Linked DNA regions of Oryzias latipes. The protein of the gene in region 6 purifies or fractionates together with the protein of the main gene of each other region. This does not show direct contact. Links are inferred from orthologs where the notes say so. Each region holds a gene or a part of one and is shown on either strand. Other genes may lie near its edges.

Region 1 (4,208 bases), on a different chromosome or scaffold from region 6:
CGAGATTGTTCTTCCTAATAAAAAAATATTACTTTTATTATACAAACCAAAAGACTAAATGTTTCTTTAACAAACAACAAATCTAACTCGAATGATGTCCTCCTTTTCCGTCTCTTGCAGCTTGTAGAGAATCTTTGACAGCTCCGGATCAGACTCCATCTTTCCAATGATCCTCTCCTTTTCTGCCTCACTCTGAGCGCTTGCTAGCATTGTACAATACTGAACTGTGGGTTAGAGATGGAAAAAGCAGCTATAAACAAACAAACATACAAAAACAAAAAACAGAAAATGAATCTGATTTAGATCATTTCTCTTACTCATGCGCCGATGCTGACGGAGGATTTTAATGAAATCAAAAGTGTTGAAACCCAACAGCAACACCAGCTGGTTCTCACATTCTCTGTCATCACTGGCTGTCTGTGACACAAAAAGGAGACATCAACGCACCTGGGAATGATTAGAGAATCTACTGTGAGCAGGCAAGGCGGTAAACATACTTTGAGGATTTCTAAGACTTCGTCCGCTTTCTTCTGTGACACGATGGCATCGTCATAGAAACGGCTGAGTTGACGCTGGAGCCAGAAGGCATCGATGTCCCGAGGATGTAAATCTTTTTTCTTCACCGTCATCACGTCACCTGTTTCGCCGAGCTACATGAAGAAAAAGCGATTTTAGAGAAACAAATGAGAAGATGTGACACTGGAAAAGACGAGGATGCAGCTGTTCCACTGACATTGGCAGAGAGTGTGGTGGTCACAACCGCCTCCTCTCCCTCACTGTCTTCATCGGATTGCTCGTCTTGCACTTCACCAAACGGGTTTTCATCCCCTTCCTACAAAATAAGTAAAGATCAGGAACTGGTTCAAACTGTGAAACCCAAAGACTGAATACAAACTTTTCATCAAAATTCAGTCAAGAAAATATTTGATAATTGCTGAGCTTTAATTGGTTGAACAACCATCAATTTAAGACAAAAAAAAGCTCACCTCCTCATCAGATTCAAACTGTACATTGACACCATACGTATCATCAATGTTGTCATCTGTGGAGAAACAACAAAGGGTTCAGATTATTTCAGTTACGCACACCCATCGATTCAGAGACAAACGTGACAGATCTTATGCACAAAAAGTTACCCATATTCTGCAATTCCTTGTCTCCCCCATAGTCTGTGATCTTCTTTCCAAGATTGACCAACACATGATACCGTGTGTCATCTGAAGGTCCCAGAAGCTGCTCCACTTCACGTCGCCTTTCTTTATCCCTGATTTTGTCATTTTTCAGTACCGCTAGTACCTCATCAGCTGCTCCACACAAAATGTCACGTGGCTGCAGACAACAGCACAGGGGGGGCAGGACATCAGCTTTCAGCACTTAACACAATTTTGAACAAGAGCCCACATTTGATTGGCTCACCTGATCTCCTAGAGCTGCATGGATGAAGCTTAGCAGCACTTCATAAGTCTCTCTGGTTTCTTTGGTTTTAGGCTTGTACACAATGCCCACCATTTCATCAATGCCTTCAGACAGAAGGGTAAAACCTTTCATTTTGTTGATGTCATGCCTGTCCTCATCTCTTTTTCGTCTCCTAAGTTAACAGCACAAGGAAAAAACCAGTTAGCGTGTTTTACTTTTAACATGAATACATCTTAATACAACAAGTTCAACAAATTTTGATGCACCAACAAGATGAAAATATTAAATTTAGTAAATTATTTCAACAGTATCATACAAACCATCTCATCTATGTTTAACCATTTTGCACAAGAACTAAAGCATTTTCTACTTGAAATTCTCAACTGTCAGCTTGACAAAGCACCCTATGGTGCCAACAGTGCCACGGCCAAATGTAAACTAAAACCTGGTGTGCGTTATTCTGAACTGACTTGTTTCTTCTGTCTTCCAGGTTCTGAGGTCTGGTCCTCTGAGCCTTGTCACCCATCTTGGTCCCCTCCAGCTTCCCCACCAGGGACAGCACCTCTCCGGTGGGCTCATCTCTCCGTGTGCGGTCAATCAAAGAGCGATCCGCTTGCAACACCAAGTTTGAGTTCTACCAGGTTAAAAAAAAAAGGTGAAAAAAAAAGGTGTGATTTATCAGTACAGCAATAGACAATCCCTTTAGCCCTTTCAACTGTATTTATCCCCTTTTTTAATTCATGAATTAAGAATCCTGCTAAATACTTTTAATTATGCCTCAAGTATTACAGGTAGTAGCAATTTGAAAAAGAAAACAAAAGTCAAAGTTGTGAAAAGACATACACACTATATACACATAATATACACACAACCTCAAATAAATAAGCGAGTCAGTTTCCTCCTCCTACATTTGTTTATAGAAACAACAATAATACTGGGATTATCTTCCTTTTAAATGATTTAAACTATATATTTTTAAGAAAGTTATGGGGGTACGAAATCATAGTTTGCATTAAATAAAAATCTAGATGACGAGGAAAGTATCGATTCGCAGATGTTTATCCACAATGTTAAAAGGAAACTAACTTTTGAAGTGTTACGCCATTCGCAGTGTAACTTTGCTTTGTTTATTCCATAAATTGATAATTTTTCAGTAAGCGTATTTTATTTAGAAACATGTCATATATTGTTTTTCTTTGGCGCAAAGTGTCGTGGCTAACCGAGGAAGCGGCTACACGCGCATGATGGCGAGATAAAAATAAAAATATTAAATGACTTGATTTGTTCCATGTCAGTATGTAAACAGATTTTCAGAAACTTAGTTGAATTCCTCACTCACCGCTTTGTACTCATACTGCAGGCTACGAGCGGTAACATCCGCCATGGTGGAGCCGTTCTTTCAACGTCGTCTGACCACACGTTCTGAATCAGGCCGCCGGGTCCACGGAGTTGAGTTTGCTCTGCTTTCTTCACGGTAAAACTCTGAGCATTGGTACGGTGTTCAGACTTTACACATAAACCAGCTTTCAAAGTCTTTACAAGTTTCACGCACGAAAAAGCGTTTCACCTACGTAACAATGCTTCTGCTGCTAGCACGAGCGCACAACATACAGCGATCGTCTTCCTCTTCCGGTGTCAAACGATGAGAAAAACTGAAATAGAAACGAAGCAGCGCCCTCTAGCGCAGAACTTCTTCTCCTTCTTCTTCTTGTGGTCTTAATAGCGGGAGGCACAAACGACCTGGTGCAATGTCGCCACCTACTTGGAGTGTGAGTCGGAGTGGGGTACAACTGGTCTAAAAGACAACTACAAAGACTACAAAGACAACAAAAAACCCTATATTCTCCTCAATAGACCAACATTGAAATTCTGCCCCCCTCCCAAAAGCCTCATCAAACTCTACCCCTCTTCCTCTGGCAATGGTACACTATCCTCCAGCTGCCACCTTTCTTCCCAATATAATTCAGCAACACAAAATGTGCTCCACTGATTCTTCCCCTTTCCCGCATTCACACAGTCCAGTGGGATGTTTCCCTAGTAAATCTAGTGTAGTATTTAAAGCCGTGTGTCCCATCCATGATCGTGATATCATGATTTGAACGGCTGCTGCCTTCGGGCAGAAGATACAGGACAATTAAAACAAGGACAAACAGATTAAAAAATAGCTTTTATCCGAGAGCCATCGTGGCCTTAAACGCTGCTAAATAAAGTTAATTTATTAGGGAAGCGTGCAATACCTTGACAACATGTAACCTCCTTTTTATATTTTTGTAAATTTTTAATACATTTTTTTTATCTTATATTGTCTTGTTTCGCAGTTTTAGTTTATTTTTATTTGACTTTTTTTTTTTTATTCCACCGGAAGAAATTGCACTGTAATTTCGTTATACATGTACAATGACAATAAAGATATTTTCTGTTTCTATTTGATCTCTGGTGTTTGATGTAAGATGGATACGTTTCCCTACTTTGTCTTGTATACTGAATAGATGTTGTTCTTTCCACTCCCTTTCACATTGTTTCTGCCAGTCTTCTATAATACGCCTTTTAACAACGAAATTTCTATCTCCACGCACCGTTTCAACGCCTGCTTTGCACAAAAATCAGCTATTTCATTTCCCTCCACCACCTATGTGATGGTACCCACATAAATCTGATACTGATTTTCAATGTCTCCAATCTGAACAGACTCTCATAAATCTCGTACATGAAAAACATTTTGCTTCAATCTGAAAGGTTTGTTGACTTAAAACCTTCAATTAAAAAGTATTTATTTTTTACATAAAGCCTTT
Region 2 (3,500 bases), on a different chromosome or scaffold from region 6:
ATGCACGGCCACAGCACATACACATCCCCATTCCACAACAGTGGGTACAGACGATCCTGGCTTCATTGCCTTCTTAAAATGAGAAGATTGTAATTGTAAAGAGCTCCGCTGTTGACAGTTTTTTCTCGTCATGACGAGATTAAAGTCGACATGACGACTTTAATCTCGTCATGTTGGCCAGAATATTTTTCCCTCACCGTGGACCCTAAAACTCCGTCGTAGAAAGGTGAACGGCCTTAAGAAAAAAAATCGAATTTTTTCAACAACAAAAAAAAAAAAATCGGAATTGAGCATTAAGCCCTGCATTGTGAACGTAGCCTAAAAGAGTCCGACAGATGAGCCTTAAACGTATGTGCGAAAACATTTCCTGAGCCATAATTCATATAGACAATCCTTAAAAAACACAGCAGCTAGGAGGTGAAGATTAAAGCTTTTTGACAAACAGTGTAATCACTCATGTTAAAAAACGATCGCAAACAGAAAGCCATTGCCCGACTGGATTCACTTTACCTGCTATTCTGGTCATCATTGGAGGCATCACTCAGATACAGCAGCACTCGTCTCTCTAGATAAGCCTGGATGTCCTCGTCATAGTAGGAGCCGTCTCCTGTGAGCAAGTCTTTCACCTGTGGGCTCAGCAGAACCGCTTCAAAATCTCCTTCCAACAAGGACTGCAGCAGAGAACCGGCATCTACAGAAACACAGGAAACGCAAAGGTTCACTGAAACTCCAAAAAATTCCTTTGAAAAGTTACTAAGTCTTGAATATGTTAAATTAAGTCTTTTATTAGAGCCTTGGTTATAAAGTAATGTTACATAAATTGCAGTAGTTCCGTATTTATGAATTACAATGCAAATTATCCACACACATTAAAAAGTTTAAATGTATTTTCTCTTGACAACGAGAAAGACGTTCAAAAAAAACAAAGCAACCAAAAGGCCATAGGTTCTCCAAGTCCTTTTCAGTTGTCATTTTTTCCACACTACAAGCTAGACTTAAAAGCCCTTATTTATTTTCTTAAACAACAGTGCACTTTATAACCCAAAGTATTAAGGTTAATTCTGGTTGTGCTCACTTGTGTCGAAGGAGTTTTGCCAAGTAAACGGTGCTGTCAAAATACATGTTGCAAACAATGTGCACCTCATATATGAAATGCATGAAAATGGCCGATGCGCCTTTTAATCCACTACGCTCAATAGTGTGAAAATACGGTCAATCTTTTTTATTTTTCCAATTCTGTGCTTTTGAAAATAAAAATAAAAAATGAATTAAACTTATTCCTAGATGAGGTTTATATGTGAAGGACAATGGCGTCCTCCTGAGTTCTGCAGTCTCCCCTCTGATGCCAAACTTGATGAAGCTCAGCCTGTAAACCCTTCTCCCTTTTAGCCATCATCACTGATTCTCATCTTGAGCTAATTCCGCTTGTGTCATTGGATTTGGAAGAAAGTCTGAAGGTTAAAACTGCAGCACACAGAGCGGGCACCATCACGCTTGTCTTCACATTTAGAGGTAACATTTTGGACTGACATTGGAAAGCCTTCAGCTTTACAGCTTTCGATGTCCTTCAAAGTTTTCAAAGCTAGTTATCAGCCAACAGAATAAACACCAACGTCCTCACAGCTCCATCAATCTGCCCTCGTTTGTTTTGTTGTGTACTCATCATTAATCCCGCCTCCTATTGTGATTAAGTCAGTAAGGACAGAGACTGTTCCCTGCAGATTATCATGTTGCTCCATGTTACTGTGAACTTGACTGAGCTGAAGGCAGCCAGATGAAGAGACCCATGTGTGAAGTGATGGCAAAAAAAACAAAAACATTGATTTATAGCAGGGCAGCTGCAGGGCCACCGCTTCCCAACCAGAAATAATGGCGTGGCTCAAATGCTCTGTTTAACTCCTTTTTCGATCAGCTTCTTACTAGATGCCAGACTGGTTGGTTCATTTGCACCGATTGCTTTGTTTTCCCCAGCGGACAAAGCAAAGGGAGCGATGGGGTACTGAGCCGCAGAGGAAAGCGTGCTAAAACTAAGGCGCTTATGTTTTCTAACCAAAGGACGTCGCTTTATATCCCAGGAAGAAGCAACTCCTTGAACAGACAGGCATGCCTGGAATACCAACAAAGATCCAGGATGATGTCATCAGTTGTCTGCAGAACACACATCCCGCAGCTTCATTAACACTATTTAGACTAAATAAATCTCTACTTTATCTTTCTCAAATGCGGGTGATATCAAGTCTGCAAGAGCCCAAGAAAGGACGCATGAAAATAGATTCTGTCTTTCAATCCATCTGAATCGTGCAGAACAAGCTCACCAAAGACACCCAACAGTCTGGGAGAGTATGTGCAGAATTCAACAGGGACAAACTACAAACAATTGATGAAGGTCACGTAGGCAATGGTCAACTTCAAAAAGGAAGCAGTGTGTACAGAACTGGGTCTGTCCATTTCTGGGGCTACATGTGGACAATGTGGAAGTCACAGCTGACATGGTTTAATAAAGTTTTCCACCCCGAGAGACAGGAACTGAAGGTTCAATTCCATAGTCAGAAAATGGCAAAGACAGTAGTATAGAATGCCTATTTGCTTGCTAAGCAGTACTAAGAGTTGGATCAGGGGTTAAATCCATAATTGGTTCCCAAGTGCAGCTACCACTGATGGCACCTTTCTGCAGAACATTATGGATCTTAACAGCTGTGTGAAACTAAAAGCAATTTAACTTTGGGTGTCGTTATCCTTCCCTCCACTATCCAAAAACAAACATCCCGAAGCCTGCTAGAGATGCAACAATACATTTTGCTTCACAATTTGGTTCAAACCTCAATTTTTGGGTCACAGTTTTGTTTTGGTTCATTATATATGATTTGTGTTACAAAACAACAACAAAAAACTAAAACTTCCGATAAGCCTTTTTTTTATTAGCTAATTAGCAAGTAACAATGATGTTGGCTTTTACTAAGCCTGATGTAAAAAATACTAAAAAAATATATTCTTCTTAAATATAGCGCAACACCTAATGGTATGAAGTAGGTATGGAGAAGGGATGCAACGATTCGCTGTCTCCACAATTCAGTTCAGTGGTGTAACAACCAGATCTGTTTTAAACTGAGAATTGTGGCAACTCTAGTGCCGAGCATCAACATCTGAGTCCCTCTTGACAGAACTGGTTCCATTGCTAGTTTTGGAGTCAGTTCTTTAGTTCTCCAACACCTAAGCACTGGCTCCCGACTCTCAAAACATCTTACAAGTACTTCAAACAACTACAGACTCTTTGCTGGGCAAAAGCAAAGAACAACTTCCCTTTGGTTGCGTGAAGAGTTTGTGTCAGGGTTATCTGGCTAAGGAATAAACACTCACACACTTAACTGTATTCAAACTAGCGAAACAACAGATTGTACACAACTTGTTTGAAGAAGAGACCTGCAGTTTTATGGGACTGTTGTCTTCAAAAAATCCAAAGTAAAGCCAAAAAAGTTATTTGTAGAAAGAAAGCCTCTGTT
Region 3 (3,965 bases), on a different chromosome or scaffold from region 6:
TTGGACATGGACAGAACTCTTGTTCTGTGACAGCAGCATTTTTTTGTTTTCATTAAACCTTTGGTTGTGGTGTTACATTGATCTTATTTGAAACTGGATTTGAAAGTCCCATTTATTGTCCATACACATCTTTCAATGGTAACTTAATAAACTTCACAGAAAAGAAAAGAAAAAGATTTAAAAAATATGAATCTTTGAACATTGAATACAGTTTGACCTAAATATTTACACCTAACAAGCAATGTTTTTGTTATGTTTTAGCCAAAATAAAAGAACACATCGTTAATGGTTTTATCTTTTCTAACAGTTCAAGGAACAGGAAGTTATGTACATCGAAAATAAATTGAGCAGAAAAAGCTTTAAAAATTAATTTGAGAAACTGATCAGCAAGTAAAGTATGTTAAAGTTTCTTAATACTAATGATGCTGTTGGTATTCAAATTGTTGCAGGACTGAAGGAAGATTTGGTTTCAGTGTGAAGATTTTAAATGCTCATTAGCATTGAGGTTTTGTTTTTATCTACGAAATACAGGGGAAGATGTTTCTACAAACAATTGACCAAATACTAAATCGGAAGAAACAGCAAAGAAATGTGAATTATCTAAACTAATAACCATGTCACGACTGACAATAACTCTGCTGGACTCGGTAAAAAGCTGGATCTTTTTTAATATCTTCGATTCATCTTCTTGAACTTCTCATAGTGGTAGTCATCTGTGGCCTTCTCGTTGTTCGGCCGTTTGCGGAAGTTGGGTGGAGATGGAGCTGCTGAAGACAGTGTCATTTCAAATTTTAATTAATTAATATAGCTTTTAGTTTACATTTCTCAAAGATTTAAGAGAATATCTACAGGCTAAATATAAAACAATAAAAAGGAGGTGAGATTATTTGTAAAGTTAAATTAAAATAAATGTAATGATTTTCTTAAAAACCTTGTTTTATTTTATTACCTTAGAAAGACTAAATAAGAAACCAAAACAAAAAAACGGTCTTCTCTTAGCACTTGAAAGTGAAGTGTCATACCTTCTAGACCTGGTTTCTCTGTGTCACCCACACGCAGTGGTCTTGGTTTGGGTTCTGGTTCTTTGTGTCTGTGATGCCTCTGTGCTGCGTTTGAATCTTCATGATAGACTGAAACAAAAAGGACAATTTTCAAGTTACTCTCAGAGTCAGTTTTTTTTTTTTTCCTAGTTAAACTTCCAGAACTTACAGCGGTTATGTTGGACGTAATTCACCGCAATGTTAGTGGGCACGAATGAGGTGCCATTGTCTTTTTTCTTGTTTCTTTGTTCCGCGATAAGCTTTGCTTTTGCCTCCTCCGTCTGGATAATATTCTTTATCTTTGCACTAGAAAAGCAATCACAAACAGGTTAAGCACACACTAAACCTCCTGAAGAGTTAAAGCAGGGATCATTTTTGCAGCTTCCTGAACATACTCAATGCCAAGGTCAACTTCCGGGATCCCACTCAGCATCTGATTGGACAACATCTCCTCCGTCTTCTTGGCAGAATTGACTCGGATGTTCTCAGGAAGTTCGTAGAGGTGGTCCTCTGGATTTTTTACTTTGATTTTCTGTTCCTCTGCCTCCACCAGTCCTTTTTTCTTCTTCAACTCTGTCTCAATATACTTCATCCTGTAAGAAGAAATTCAAGACTTATTTCTGCAATGACAAATCTTTATGCACAAAAAAAGGGAGAGTTTTGAGGCATTCGTATATGGGGCCATTTATCCAACAAGCAATGCACCAAACTCTAATAGCTGATGATAAAACATCATGGAATCACAGTCTAAGGAGCTCTGATTCCAAAATACCTCATATGGATTTGGTTTTTTTCTAAGTGTTTGTTTTAAAAGGTGTGGATAAGGCCATTAAAGTTTTATAGTATTTGTACAGCGAGTCCTTACATGTCTGCATCTTCATCTCTTCTGTTAGTTTCAGCTGAGAAGGATGTACCCAGATTCAGCTCCGTCTCATCTTCTGTCCTGAAAACAACCAAAAACAATGCATTATGTACAGAATGGCAAGCTGTGTAAGACATTCATAAAATGAATAAGAATATAAAAAAATAAAATAAAAAAACATTTTACTTACATGTCTCTATTTCTATCCTTCACCTTTTTCATGTCTATCACGCCTCCTGTCTTGAGCTTAAACGGGTCATTCTGTTGAAAACAGTGATTGTTTGTTACACAAGTCTTGTTGCTGTTGTGACTCAGACATGCAGTGCAGTGTTAGGAACATCCGGACCATACGTACATCAATTTCAGCCTCTGGTGGAAGTTTCTCTCCAACGAGTAATGCAGTCACACTAAAGAATAACAACACGTTTTTTTTTTTAACTCACGTACATCTGGTAAAAATATTTTGAGTTCGAGAAACAACAGTGATAATGATTACCTGACACCGGTTTGACGTTTCCTTAAACTCTGGATTTCTTTAGCCTCCTCTAGCTTTGATCTTTGCAAACAAGATAGAAGCACAGATTCGAAGTGGTAAACTTTTGTTCCAATAAAAATCTTAAAATTTAGATGTAGTTTAAAAAAAATCATGAACAGACACAACGACGTTAGCCGGAGGCTGGCTACCTCAGTAGCTGGCGCAAGTTTGCGTCTAACTAACTCACCTGACTTCTTCGGTTGTCTCATCTTCCTCTTCGTCATCTGATGAGTCCCTTCTCCTCCTAAAATTTTTACCGGAAGGCATTTTTGTATTGTATCGGTTTCCTTATAACGCAGAGCTTTACAAAAACCGACTTTCGCGTTAGCAGTCTCGGGGAACACTTTAACAGATGAACAAAATACTTACGTCATTTCCGCTTGCGCAATCCACATTTCCGTCTTGTTTAGCTAACCATAACAATCATGGCGGCGTACGCACAGTTTGGAAGGTTGCTGGGCGTTTCAGCGAGACTTTTAAGGCCGTAAGTGCTTTGCATTTGGGTTTCTGTTTTTATTAATCTTTCTCGTAATTCATGTATGAATGTGTGTATGAACACAGAGGACATGAAAGCGGTTACATTTAATGACATGGCTCACTTACATACATGGCATGCGTCGCATGACACAAATGAACTGTTCACACTCACTGAGGATTTCCAAAACATTCTTACAAATAACAGAACGTATCTATAAAAAATATAGCCGGTTTTTTAGATGCCGTGTCTGGAGAAACATTTAAATGCACGTGCAAACTTCACTTTTATAGACATTTAGACCACATAATGGACACTTTAAACTTTTGTGACCTTAAGTAAGCTGGATTGTTATTGAAATTTGTTTTCTATTCAGTCATCTAGCTTTTTATCGTTATCATTCCTCAGTCGTGCAATACATTTCACTGCACACATACAATAGATGTATATGTGTGTGACAAATAAAATGTCTATTAAAAAAAAACAATGATTTTTATTTTATGTGGAGGCTGTTGCTTCTGTGATTCTACAATTTTAACACTTCAAAAATATGTAAAGGCAAAAAACAAGAAGAGATTTAGAATTAATATGAATTATTTACTTTATATTTGAACACTTAGATTGTTCATTAATCTCCTAACTATGCTTTTTTTGTATACAGTGATCCCTTGCTATAACGCGGTGTACTTTTCACGGTTTCGCTACTTCACGGATTTGCATCGTGCATTGTGTTCTGCATTCTGATTGGCTAAAAAGTCACTCCGCTTCTTCTCTACCTGTGCGTCAATAACGTTGCAGTTTAATATGTACACGTACTTAAATCAGCTTGCCAAATTTACATTACGTACGTGCAAATTCTTTTGCAATTTCGAGTTTCTCTAAACCCCATAGAAAAAAGAGCGACAACAACTGTCAATCACTATGTTCTTCCCAAACACTAAACATACCTGAAATGTTTACATTTATAACAGTTGTTGTTTGTCATTAAAGTTTTTCTGTTTTGTTTTTTTTATGAATTTTAGGCTCGTTGGCAGCGGCTGTCCAAGCACTGGA
Region 4 (4,018 bases), on a different chromosome or scaffold from region 6:
ATTTCATGACGTGCATTCAAACCCTGAGAATTATTCTATGTATGTACTAGAACAGAATTTCTGGCATGGTGGTACAACGGTCAACCGCTAACATTAATATTCCTAGTCCAATTCCCACTCCCAATTACGTTCACACCAGACGTGTCACACATTCTTGGACATGCGTTGTCATATGGTGTTCACAGTGGACGGGCGCCAACACGTCCACCACCTCCAGTTGGAGGAGGCTTGGGAGGAAAATTCAAAGCGGTGCAAATCTCCAGGCGTTTTCTTTCACGGCTCGATTCCGGTTTATGAAAGACTTGGTGTGTCATGTAGTTCTGGCAGGGCACAAACTGCACATTTTGAATTTCTCCTTCTTGATCACCTTTCAACCAGTTAGCCCATTTGGTGAATTAAAAAGGATGCTACGCATGCGTCACTACCAAATCTGACTCTCTGATTGGTCAAAGTTCAACTGGTTTAACTTTCAAAGTGCGTTCAGTGGGTGCAGGTTTTGTACAAAAACAGACATCAAGACTCGCGCAGAGATGCACGAACAAAAGAGTTTTGACCGAAGAAGCCGGAAATGCGCATTTACAAGCGTTTACATAGACTTGGACTCGTTGGAAGTAGTGGCGTAGACGCGGATTCCCGTGGGCGGTGTGAACCTAGCATGCCCGTGCTCACGCCGCGTCAGTGTGCGTCTTACCAGCTGTGTCCTCCTCCTCTGAATCAGAGTCAAAGTAAACGCTGTCGTACATCTGAGGGTTGGAGGAACCGACAACCTCGCTGCCTCCTCCAGTTTCTGCTGCAGGAGAGAGGAAACCTTCACATGCAATCCCTCCTGAAACCTTCGTCTGCAGTCAGATTAATACAGAAGCAGACCAACCCCTCCAGAGAACAGCTGATGAGCTGCCTTTGCAGAAAAACATTCAAAATTTACAAACTATTGGTTTGTTTTGGGACTTTTATTTAACACAAACTAATCATTCAATTTCTCCTGGAATTGTGGAGGATTTGAAGGTTCTGGTGGATGAGAGGTTGTGGACTCCGGCTGGTTTGACTTGACTTTCTACTATAGCAAGTACATTGTATTAAAAGAGCATTTTTCTATTTTAAATTGAACAGTATTTCTAAAATATATCTTTTTTCTAATGTTTGTATGATTTATTAATTAAAACAAAGTAAAGAAGCCAAACATGAGTGGTATCAGGTCAAAACTATTGTTTTTGAGTTTTGCATGAAACCTGTCTGGATCTACAAATCCTCCCATGCTGGTCACTGATCTGACTGTTCATTACAGCTCAGACCTTAAAGTCTGCAGCTTCTAAAGAGAAGAACAGCTTTTAAAGCTGCACTGAATGGAGGAATGGAAACATCAGAAGACCTGTGGGGTGTTCCAGGAAGCATGTTTAAACTAGCCTGACTTTAACCCTGAACTCTGGCTGAAATCCGCCTGAAATCGCTTACTCTGGGTATGTCGGTTCCAAAAGACCGGGTATGAGTTGGCGTAATTGCGCTCGACTTGGTAACCCTGGGTTAATGCTCGTGCACAGCAGGTACATAAAGACATTCTCAATAGATCGCCGATTTACGGAGTAACCATGGAAACGCGTGGAGAACAATGGTGGAAAAAGTATTATCTGAGCTTCTTCATCCACTAAATCATCTTCAAATGGACACGCCATGCTGCTTCACCTCTCTGAAAACAAACTAAGCTTCAACTAAACCTGCTCCAGACCAGGTTATGTTCAGAGCATGAGTTACTATGGCAACTTGACCTACCCTGAAGCATACCTCCATTTCTAAAACAGAAAGCTGAGGGTATCAACTTCCTTAGCCTCAAACTTACCGTGGTAACTAGCATAACCTGCTTTCTGGAATACCCCCCAGATCAGGCTCTAGAAGCAGAATGAGATGGTTTTGAAAGGAGAGACGGACAGTTATGCTGCTGCTGCTGCTGCTGATGATGATGCTGGGAGGCGGCTGAGGTTGGGGCTGGTGGCTCCAATGTGGTAAAGTGGTTCAAAACAACAAGCAGCTCTCTTTTGTACAAAAGCTTGGTGTTTCTGTGTTTGGAAGGGCCCTGTGTGTGTCTGTGCGTGTTACGGGTTACCGGCTGCAGGGGCCCAGCTTCCTTCCATGGTCCTGAGGGTGGAGCTCAGCTCTGCCTCCATCTCCTTCTCAAACTCATCCCCGCTGGAGGACTCGCTCTCCCCGGTCAGGTACTCCCGGATCAGCTTCTTCTTCTGGTCCGGCGTCCCGTTCAGCAGCACGTCCAGCTCGTCCTCGGAGCTGAAGACAGGCGTTTCTGTTCAAAACTGGACTTTTGGAAACCTTCATCATGATGACGATCATGAAGCAAAGCAAAACACAGCGCCAAAATGCGACATATTGCGTCTCTTTTATCATGGTCTAAAACCTGATTCAAACTTTAAAATTAAACGTCTAGGAACTGGTTTATCCTGCATATATTCTACCTTTAAAATCAAAAACATCATTAAAAACCAAATCATAAACATGTAATGTTTTTATCCGTTTTTGTTGCTTTCAGCTGTTGTTAGCCTCGTGCTGCTAGCATGAAGCTAACCGTCTGTTTACATCATACCTGCTCGAAGCGCGTTCTTCGTCGCTTGGCTCATCGATTTCATAAGCCTCACTTTCCACCGGTCCGTTAAACTTGCTCATTTTAACAATTTTAAACTTTCTCAGAAGACAAAACAACGGGAAAGATTTATCCCGAAACTGGTCTACACTCTGTCCAGTCTGACGTATGTCTTCTTCTTCGGCATCGGTTCTTCTTCTATGGTGGTAAAAGCACTTGGAAAACTCGTTACCGCCCTCTTGTGGAGAAACATTTTAAAATCATTTTTACTTCAACTATCTAAAAGGAAATTCATTTCAGAACTAAAAAATAAAAGTAGGTGGAATATAAAACAAAAGAAACAAATAAAAATAAATTTATTTATTGCTAAAGCCACAATTTAATAGTAAAATCGGTCAGGTTAAAATGCTGAAGCTAAATTTAAAAGATTAGAAAAGTAAAATTAATAAAAAAGAAGAAATTAATTATTGTTTGGATTTAACAGTAGGTATAACATGAAAATAATTAAGAAAATTTTCAAACATTATATATTTTTATGTATCCCCAAAATATAATGATAACTATAGACTTCAAAAAGCATTAAATAAAAAGTTTTTCAAGATTAGTTTAAGGATAACCCATGCAACTTGAAAAGGACAATAGAGGTGAAAAGATTATTCAGCCATAAGCGCTCATCCTGGCAGCTCAGGAACAAGCCCTGAGTACCAGAGCAATAGAGGCTCAGATCTACCACACCAGACAAGACCCAAGGTGTAGGCTGTGCAAAGAGGCGCCTGAAACAATCCAGCACATAACTGCAGGGTGTAAGATACTGGCAGGGAAAGCATACATGGAGCGCCACAATCAAGTGGCTGGAATAATATACAGGAACATGTGTGCAGAATATGAACTGGAAACCATAAAGTCAAAATGGGAAACACCTCTGAAGTGGTAGAGAATGAGAGGGCAAAGATCCTGTTGGACCTCCAGTGTTATGGCTGTGGCCGTATTCGGTTTTGTTCTTTTTGTTCTGTCTTTTTTGTATCATAGTGGGACTTCTGTGTTTTGTGGGTTTTTGTGTGTCTGTCTGATTACTTTGGTGCTGGAAAGGGTGTGGCTTCCTTTTGGACCCAAGCTGATGGAGGCAGCCTTTACAAGCAGCATGTGGACCCCCAGCCTGCCAGAAGGGAGCTTTGCTGCAACCTGTCTCCACGGAGGTTATTGTTTTGTCACAGGTAAGATTTCAGATCTCAGTCAGGTGGGGTTTTGTTTGTTATTTTGGGTTTGGTTCACCCTGAAGCCTTTTTGCTTCACCTTTTAGTTATTGTCGATCGGTATTTATTAATTTGTAAATAAATGTTATTTTTTATGGAGACACTCTTTTGGTGTTTTTGGTGTTAATTTAAAGTCAGGGCAAAAAGACTTTACTGTTATGTTGTGCTCCTCTAGGTC
Region 5 (3,970 bases), on a different chromosome or scaffold from region 6:
TCAAATCGAGCATTTTAGCACTCATCCTTGTGATCCGAGCTCCTTCTGTAGCTCTTCCTCTTCATTTTCTTGAAGGGGGTGAAGCTGGGGAGGGACTCCTGCTGGTCTCTGACCTCCTCTGCATCCTGCTGGGTCTTTCCAGCAGCCTTGTTGTCCTCCTCCTCTTCCTCAGCCAGGTGACTGAGGTGCAGTCTCTTCTCCTTTCCTTGCTGGTCTGACTCAGAGATTTCTTCCTTGAACGCTCGTTTGGGTTTAGAGAAGACCACCTTTTGCTGCTGGTCGTGGGGGGGTTCACCGGGGGGGCGGTTGCCCTCTTCAGGCCGCAGACTGGACAGGAAGTTGTGCGCCGCCCTGCGGTTCTCCTGATCAGTGGTCTCCTTCACGTCCTCCAGGCTGTAGCGCGTCCAGCGATCAGGGTGCAGCAGGTAGTCCGGGACCCCCCTCTTCTTTGCAGGAGGGGGACATTTGGGAGGGGGCATGCTCTCCTCGGGGAGCAGAGGTGCCGTCTGCCTCTCGACGCCATCCAGGCAGTCGAAGACGCTGCGGCTGCGGTCGGAGAACGCAGAGTTCCCTCCGCTCAAGACGAACGTGCTCGCAGTTGAGCGGGTGGCGCCGAGAGCGCACGCCTCCTCGCCCCCGTCGTCGCTGTCATCCAGCTCCGGGTCAAAGGGCGCCCGGCTCAGCTCTTCCTCGGGCTCCGACTCGTCACTGGCCGACAGCTCAAAGCCTTCTTGGTCGTCGCCGCAGCTCTGGACGCATTTCTGCTGCGACATCTTCAGCCGCGGCTGCAGCCGAACCCCGAGCCGCGAGGAAGACAAACCCGGTCAGGTGGGAACCCCAAAACTGTAGAGGAAGACACCAAAGGTCAGGCCACCCCATCAAACCTGCATGGACTGGTTTTAACATCTACCAAAACAACAACAAGCTGCTAGGACCTGTGAGGACGGACCACCGAGCATCCAACAGTAAATATGAGGGTTTTGGAAATAACCTGTAAAATAATAATGATCCTCTATGTTTACATCCATTTTAAAAGCAAGCATAATTATTTAAGTCCTAATTCTGTTCAATTCAAAACAAACTTGAAATAAATGTTTTGAAATAATGACCCAATAAAAGGTCAATAATTACAAGAATGCGCACGTGCAGCCAGTGCTGAACGTTGTCATTGGCTGCACGGACCCACAGGAAGGGTCAAGGTTAGGATTTCGGTAAGTTCAGGCAGGTATCCAGGAAGCACGTTTAAACTAGCCTGACTTTAAGCCTGAACTCTGGCTGAAATCCGCCTGAACTTGCTTACTCTGGGTATGTCGGTATGACCAGATTTGAGTTAGTGTAATTACGCTGGACTTGGTAACCCTAACTCAAACTCCCCAACCATCAAATCAGAGAATATTTGAATGAAACGTCCTTTCCCTACATCTCAAATTCAAATTATATAACCCAATATTTCAATAATTCAGAAAAGAAACAAATACGAACCAAATATTTCAAACTCCCCATCCCTCCTAAAGCCAAGGAAGTCAATTTTAAAACCTTTTCAGGTATTTTACCCTTCCAAGGAATTACTAAGAAAACGGTTTGGAATTCCTGAAAACTGCTGTTCTTTTTGTCATGATGACATTGAAACAACTGAGCATCTTTTCTTTGAATGTTTTGACTCTAATGTCTTTTGGAATTATTGGCTTTTCCCCCAAATCCCACATTTAGCAGACTTTTCTATTAAGGACATCATTTTTGGGTTTAATTTAAAAAACAAAAAAACACAGAACTTATTTTAAATGTTGTAATTATTTTGGGTAAATTCTATATACATAAATGTCAATTCCTTGAAATCCAACCATATTCTTTTACATTTCATAAAGAACTCTGCTCTTTTTTTCATCTGCAAACTTCATGGAAATCAAACTTGCTATGGAACTTCAAAGTATTATATGTAACTTGCAGCTTTTTGAGAACCCCCCAAGTCAAGAATCATTAAAATGTCTATGTGACCCCCTTTTTATTTTAATTTCTTTTATTTAATTTTTTTTCGGTATTATTGTTATATTTTTATTTTATCCTGCCTATGTTGTTTGTTCATGTCCTGTACTTTTTCTACTTTTCTATACTTGTCATAATTGTATACAATTGTTACAAATTGTAAACCTCAAGTGTTTTTTCAATTAAAAAAAAAGCTAAAAATAAAGAAAATACCCCCCTGGTTCCTGAGCGGCTGTTTCTGCAGCTCTCCGCTCCTCCAGGATCAAAGTACAATTTTCTCACAGTTAATGGGATTTTAACTTTAAATATGTTTTCCATAACTTTGTTTTCTAGTAAAAATACGTGCGAACAACAATAATAACATCATCATGATCATCAGCCTTAACAGCGCATGAATTAAAACATCTGTTTCATCTCATATATGAATTTTTTTTGTGCCTAAAAAACTAAAGCTTTTGTTTTGATTTTATTTAAAAAGATTGGCAATAAAAATAAAAATAACTCGGAATATTGACTTCGTAAAAACAAGATTCAGACTGAAGTTAGTTAGCATGCTAAGTAGCACGATGCTAGTAGTAGCGCGACATGCTAACAACGTTACAAATGCTTATAAACAAAACAAAAATGCTGTCTAGCCGAAAAGAGCTGCGAAATGCGCTGTTGTTTACATGACAAATATTTATATAATACGCGTAGTTTTGACTTAAATCCCGTTTGTACCTTTGAAATAGCGCAGACCGCCGGCCGAAACCCTCTTCTTCTACGGTAGATCGTGTAATGTTTACGTCATTACTGCCCCCTAACGATTGTCCTGTGGTACTGCAGACCGAGCCGATCCGCGCATGTAAAAAAACAAGGGCGGGTCTTTATATAGCTCCCTGCTGTGATTGGCTGAGCTGCAGCAGACCGGGATCTTTTGAAAGTGTCAGGGCGTGGGCTCAGAACTCCGCTTGTTGTTTCAAAGCTCCAAGTGCCGCGTGATCCTCATTTAATCCCGTTAAACCGAGACTCTGGCGAGCGTTTCAATGGAGTTCGAAGCCCTGGAAACCGGGTGTACCGTCAGCGACGTGTCGGACTTGGTGGTGGTCGATCTGGATCCTCAGGTCGAGACGGACAGCGTTTGCTCCGCGGGACCCGGTTTATTGGATGTAGCGCAAGGTTTGTTACGTTACCGTTTTTGGTTTGAGTTTTCTTTCCTCCGAGTCGGTGTATGAGACAAGCTAACCGCTGCCGTCGAGGTTTGCTAGCTTGGAGATTTAGCAGACTTTTTATCCGAGTTTCCGGCGGTCTGTGAACGCAGCGTCTTCATATGTCGTCAGCCTGAGCTGCATTCTCGGAACTGTCAATCTTGCAGGATTTTCCAAACTTAACCCAAATACGACAAATAATTATATTTCACTCTCATCTGAGTAGACATTAACGGATGTTGAAATAAACAAATAACACAATTATGTTATTACAAAAACAAAATATACCTATAGAAGACCGCAAAAGGGGTGTCAGACTGTTTCTTTTTTTTTTTTTAAGATATCCTGCCTTATCTGCTACTGATTACCTGGATCAGGTGTGCTTCATGGCAGGTTGGTTGGACAACATGTAGGACACCGGCCCTCGAGGCCTGGAGTTTGACACCTGGAAAACGGGGGTGTAAATAAATTCATTTATTTGTGTATGTAGACACAGTATTTGTGACTCTTTTGTTGATTCTATGAAGTTGTTTAACAGATTGTTAAATAAAAGAGAAGAGAAAATATCTGCTTTCATGAGGATTTTGACACAGGAGGACCGGAAAAAGCCTTAAAACCTGTTAACTTACTAAAAATACAGCAATTAAGGACAAAAATAACATTTAAAATGCCTATGAAATTATTATTAAAATTAGAGTTGAAAGCATATTTTTTAAAATAGCAAAATAACTTTATAAATGAGTTAAATCAATGCAAACATTTTTTTTAAAGTCCTTCAAAGTTTAAAAAAGCATTAACAG
Region 6 (4,155 bases):
TTTGTGTCACAAATAACCTCCTAAAATAAAATACAAGTGTCCTGAATATTGGAAAGGATTACCCAGAACGTCCCACAGACAGTCACAGACTAGTGAAGAAGCTGCTTCAGGGGAGTGTTGTTAAGGAACAAAAACGCATTTCTGCGTCGCTGTAAATGTTACGAAAACAAACAATGAAAAGAGTATAATTCTGACTAAGAACTGCCCTTCGCACTTTTTTTTTTACTAACATGCAAAGAACAAAAGCTACTTTACGATAATGTTCAGATTCGTGGCGAATTCGCTTCGCGGACTCTCGGCTGTAAACACTGGCGGACGCTGCGTAACACCTTATTTGTTCCGTCGGAAACATTCTTTTTAAGAACAGTTCCACTCTTTAAGATTTCCTTTTATAAAAAACAACAAAACCAACAATTTCCTCTCTAATAAAAGTATTAATAAATATTCAGTATTTTATTAAATGAAATTACAGTAAAAAAGACAGGAAATATGTATAATGTCAATATGTCATTCAAAAAAAACATGCTACAAAGAATGAAAATGTGCATATTTTACTGGAGAACATCTGAATGGTGAGTGAATACTTTTTAGCTTATCTTGGCTTATTAGGAAACAATTCATATTGCAAAGAGGAATGCTGACATGCAGTGGATGGCGTTTTTTTAATCACAAAACTCGGAGATCTCGACAACTGTTAAAAAAAGGAGGAATAAAACAACTTGAGCATTCCAATAAAAGAGGAAGCCGTTTTTTTTTTTACAAAGTCTATCTTGACCAGATTGGAAGAACCATCTGGAAATTTGAGTGCATAGAGTAGCACGGGTCCTAGGGACCAAAGTCATACTATTTATCAGAGGGTACGACACTTTTGAGTTTTTCCCAACATCTAATCAATGCCTTTATGGTTTTGATCACCCTAAATCTCTTGCCTTTTCTCCCTTGTATTTTTTGGGCAGATGAACAGGGGTTTTTCTTTCCCTAGAAGTAAAAGAAAAAAAGAAAAAAAAGATAAATTAGTTCAGATTTTTAAGTTTTTTTGCATACTTCAAAGATCTGCATCGGTACTTTTTCTCACCATATAATTAGGACTGCAGTTTTGAACGATGAGCTGCTCCATGTTTTCTATTGGCTTTTTCAGGTCAGACAGCTTCTTGCCGCTCTTCAAACAGAGGACCTGCTGTGTGTTAATGTATATGGACACAAGGATGCGATGTGCCTGCCATGAGATGGCAGGAAAAAGGAGAAAACAGACAGCATTTAAAGACCTTGATAACAAACAATGCAAGTATTTGGGTAGACAAAACTTGCCAAACTAAACAAATATGTCACATCAGGGTTAAAGAAATCTCCTTTTTTGTTTTTTTGTTTTTACTTTTAATATTGTTTTTTTTTTTTTAAAGCAAAATATTTTTAAATGTTCTATTTTAACAGTTTTCTGTAATTTGTTTCCATTTTTGTTACTACGTTTACTGCATTTGTTGTGTGTGTGATTTCCGTTTTACAGCCACCAAACTACATCTAATGTACCTATAGCATTGATGCTCACCTTTGCAGAGGGGCAGGGATCTCTCCCTTTGGATGAGTTGTGAGAAACAGTCAAATTCTGAAAAACATTAGTCATCAAAAATATTATTTTAGAAATCCAGTTTCATCTCATTCAAAGTGTGGGAAAATTCGTTTTGAGGCTTTTCTTTGTGTGTGTGTTGCAAAACAAACACTGGAGGGCAGTCTCTAACCATATATTCCAACACTTTTCTTAGTGTCAGCTGTAGGTAAAAGGCTGTTGAATATAAACAAACATTGAAATTCTTATTTTGCGGTCAGTTTGGTCGTCATACCAGATTCTGCAGCTCAACGAAGATGACTTCTCTGTAGAAGCCCAGTATGTCTTTGTAGTTACATTTACTTTTACCAGATGAGTTGGCCAACAAGAGAACCACCAGGACACTGTGGAGTAGAGTTCCGGTCAGACACTGCATAAAAGAAAGAGGTGTGGAAGTACCTTAAATGCAGCCCAGTGAAGACTGAATAAAATCACTCGGCTCCTGGGCATCTTTGTATCACATGACAGAAAGACAAAGTGCACAGACTTTGGCATTAAAATGCTCTGAAATCCACTTTTCCCAAGTCATAGTCTGGTTTTAAGTCTTTGGTTACAAGTCAAATCCAAAATGTTGGAAATTATTTTTAAAAATGTGTGATTCTCACTAATGTCATTACAGTATTTTAAACCACCTAATAGTGACACATACAGCACAAAAATATTAGACCTCAATCTGTTTTTTTTTTTTAAGGTAAAACTAAAAATAAACTAAGAATGTTCTCAAGTCCTCAAAGTCTAGTCTGATGCTCTTGAAGTTAAGGTTTCAGTCTTAAATAGGCTTTCAAGTCTTAAATCCCTGCCTTTGAAACTGAAGTGAGACTCAAGTCCGAGTCTCAGGTTTAATTCTCAATCTCTGCTTTGGCATCAAAGCACTAAAACAACTCACTTTGTCACTGTGCGTGCGTAATTACGCACCAGTGCGCTTACCATTTATTATGCTCTTCAGCAGGATCCTCAGACGAGCAAACCTATGTCTGACAGTGACTTGCAGGTTCGTGGAATTAACGCTCCAGCTGCTCTCATTATCCTTCTGCTTCCTCTCGGTACTGTCTGCACTGCACACTTTCTCAGGTGCAGAGGTCAGAGCTGCAGCGGGGTCAGTCACAGCCGACGCAGCGCTGCGTCTTTCCAGCATCACCCAGGCTGCTGCTGCTGCTGCTCAATTTCCTCCCCGTCATGGACTACTGACGCTGGGTTTAGGATTTCATCAAATTCCAGTCGGTTCAGGTCGAGGAAACTCCTGCAATCAATCATCTGCCTTTGTGCTTTCGGTTTCGTTTGGAAGATAGGACACTAAAAGAGAAGCTTTTCTTCTCATCAACTAGCGTTACTTTCTAATAATAATGGTATTAATGAATAAAAGTTTAGAGGTCTAGTTTATGGTTGAATGATAAAATAAAGAAACCCTTTATTTGTGATTTAGACAAAAAAAATGAGAAACCACATTTTATAACAATAAACAACTATGGGAACCGACTGCGGGGGTGGGGGTGGTGGGGGTAACTGAACTGGTCCAGCAGAACATTTCCTACAATGAAAGTTTTTGTTCTCCCATATTCTCACATTTTATTCTGACATCTGAAAAACACTTTTATAGAAAGAAAGTTATATTTCAGCTGCATTGATGTAAAAATACAAGAATCAGCATTTAATTCAGTTTGAGAAATATTTTTTTGTCATTTAATGACAGAAACTTTGAGAACTGTCTAATCCTGTGGAACAAATGCAAATTTTATTCATGAAATCTAAATGAGATATTAGTGTAATTTAAGATCTCACCAGATAATTACTGCTGAATTGAGACTCAAAAGTTTAAAAAAAACTTTTTCTAGATGCATGAAGAGACTTCTCTTGAATATTGTAGCTGCTATGTTTAGCCTTACTTTGAAAACATCATTTGCAGATCATCGTCTGTCTCACTGAGTTTGGAGTCAGAATTCCCCTCAACCAAACATTCACTTCAGAAGGTCTGCATTGTTTGTTTGGGAGTAAAGACACAAAAATTAAAAGTTGAACAAACCAAACATGGAGTTTTTACATTGTCATTTTGCACACTCTATTGCGTAAAGTTTTACAGATTTCTTTCAAATTGCAGGGCAAAGCAGGATTGGGTCTTTTGCACAGGGGGACGGGAATGCATGCGCTAATTTCTGGCCAGAAACTTTAAGAACAGACATGAACCTCAACAAAAAAGAAGGTCTGAGCTAACTCTATCTAGACTCCCTGAACAATACAAAGGGGTGTCATTGTCAGAGGAAAAAGTTGGTCTCACTGATTATAACAGAAACAAAGTCTAAAAAATGAATTCATATTTCTGTTTATTTACTTAATCCTTGGTGATCCATAAGTTCAAAGATACTTCTAAGCTCTTTGAACCTTCATGGCTTCATGCTAATAAGAAATATAGGAGCATTCAGGTCAAAATTAGAACTAAAGAGAGACAAATGAAACAATTTGTGTTTATTTTTGGGGAGTGGGATTATACCGGGTGCGGCGTAGAAAAGAGAAAAAAAAATACATTATTTCTAGCATGATGCCTCATGTTAGCAGAA

The links.
Region 1: the proteins of aar2 (region 6) and snrnp200 purify together in Homo sapiens (affinity purification with mass spectrometry; 5 studies listed by BioGRID and IntAct, counting the BioPlex papers as one, with this or other methods). This does not show direct contact. The link is inferred for Oryzias latipes from reciprocal best matches to the Homo sapiens genes AAR2 and SNRNP200.
Region 2: the proteins of aar2 (region 6) and ttc27 purify together in Homo sapiens (affinity purification with mass spectrometry; 3 studies listed by BioGRID and IntAct, with this or other methods). This does not show direct contact. The link is inferred for Oryzias latipes from reciprocal best matches to the Homo sapiens genes AAR2 and TTC27.
Region 3: the proteins of aar2 (region 6) and c9h9orf78 purify together in Homo sapiens (affinity purification with mass spectrometry; 3 studies listed by BioGRID and IntAct, with this or other methods). This does not show direct contact. The link is inferred for Oryzias latipes from reciprocal best matches to the Homo sapiens genes AAR2 and C9orf78.
Region 4: the proteins of aar2 (region 6) and eapp purify together in Homo sapiens (affinity purification with mass spectrometry; 4 studies listed by BioGRID and IntAct, counting the BioPlex papers as one, with this or other methods). This does not show direct contact. The link is inferred for Oryzias latipes from reciprocal best matches to the Homo sapiens genes AAR2 and EAPP.
Region 5: the proteins of aar2 (region 6) and tssc4 purify together in Homo sapiens (affinity purification with mass spectrometry; 3 studies listed by BioGRID and IntAct, counting the BioPlex papers as one, with this or other methods). This does not show direct contact. The link is inferred for Oryzias latipes from reciprocal best matches to the Homo sapiens genes AAR2 and TSSC4.

Annotation. Positions count from the first base shown.
Region 1 is NC_019867.2:18,376,549-18,380,756, forward strand, and holds the start of snrnp200 (U5 small nuclear ribonucleoprotein 200 kDa helicase), read right to left. Parts: upstream 2,801-4,208; coding exon 2,756-2,800; intron 2,051-2,755; coding exon 1,887-2,050; intron 1,589-1,886; coding exon 1,417-1,588; intron 1,330-1,416; coding exon 1,137-1,329; intron 1,043-1,136; coding exon 987-1,042; intron 833-986; coding exon 734-832; intron 651-733; coding exon 498-650; intron 418-497; coding exon 318-417; intron 225-317; coding exon 88-224; intron 15-87; coding exon 1-14. UniProt on the Homo sapiens protein: Catalyzes the ATP-dependent unwinding of U4/U6 RNA duplices, an essential step in the assembly of a catalytically active spliceosome. Plays a role in pre-mRNA splicing as a core component of precatalytic, catalytic and postcatalytic spliceosomal complexes.
Region 2 is NC_019873.2:9,673,386-9,676,885, forward strand, and holds part of ttc27 (tetratricopeptide repeat protein 27), read right to left. Parts: intron 692-3,500; coding exon 511-691; intron 1-510.
Region 3 is NC_019867.2:17,116,366-17,120,330, reverse strand, and holds c9h9orf78 (telomere length and silencing protein 1 homolog), read right to left. Parts: upstream 2,801-3,965; 5' UTR 2,705-2,800; coding exon 2,625-2,704; intron 2,459-2,624; coding exon 2,399-2,458; intron 2,310-2,398; coding exon 2,258-2,309; intron 2,164-2,257; coding exon 2,093-2,163; intron 1,984-2,092; coding exon 1,906-1,983; intron 1,634-1,905; coding exon 1,436-1,633; intron 1,347-1,435; coding exon 1,210-1,346; intron 1,131-1,209; coding exon 1,023-1,130; intron 768-1,022; coding exon 667-767; 3' UTR 96-666; downstream 1-95. Other genes in the region: NFU1 iron-sulfur cluster scaffold homolog, mitochondrial, read left to right, coding at 2,863-2,921, 3,935-3,965. UniProt on the Homo sapiens protein: Plays a role in pre-mRNA splicing by promoting usage of the upstream 3'-splice site at alternative NAGNAG splice sites; these are sites featuring alternative acceptor motifs separated by only a few nucleotides. May also modulate exon inclusion events.
Region 4 is NC_019880.2:24,339,498-24,343,515, reverse strand, and holds the start of eapp (E2F-associated phosphoprotein), read right to left. Parts: upstream 2,801-4,018; 5' UTR 2,671-2,800; coding exon 2,591-2,670; intron 2,278-2,590; coding exon 2,099-2,277; intron 791-2,098; coding exon 692-790; intron 1-691. UniProt on the Homo sapiens protein: May play an important role in the fine-tuning of both major E2F1 activities, the regulation of the cell-cycle and the induction of apoptosis. Promotes S-phase entry, and inhibits p14(ARP) expression.
Region 5 is NC_019861.2:37,264,295-37,268,264, forward strand, and holds the start of tssc4 (protein TSSC4), read right to left. Parts: upstream 2,801-3,970; 5' UTR 2,704-2,800; intron 844-2,703; 5' UTR 774-843; coding exon 15-773; 3' UTR 1-14. Other genes in the region: shcbp1 (SHC SH2 domain-binding protein 1), read left to right, coding at 3,009-3,141. UniProt on the Homo sapiens protein: Protein associated with the U5 snRNP, during its maturation and its post-splicing recycling and which is required for spliceosomal tri-snRNP complex assembly in the nucleus.
Region 6 is NC_019865.2:15,451,661-15,455,815, forward strand, and holds the start of aar2 (protein AAR2 homolog), read right to left. Parts: upstream 2,801-4,155; 5' UTR 2,531-2,800; intron 1,974-2,530; 5' UTR 1,839-1,973; intron 1,604-1,838; 5' UTR 1,547-1,603; intron 1,217-1,546; 5' UTR 1,076-1,216; intron 979-1,075; 5' UTR 1-978. UniProt on the Homo sapiens protein: Component of the U5 snRNP complex that is required for spliceosome assembly and for pre-mRNA splicing.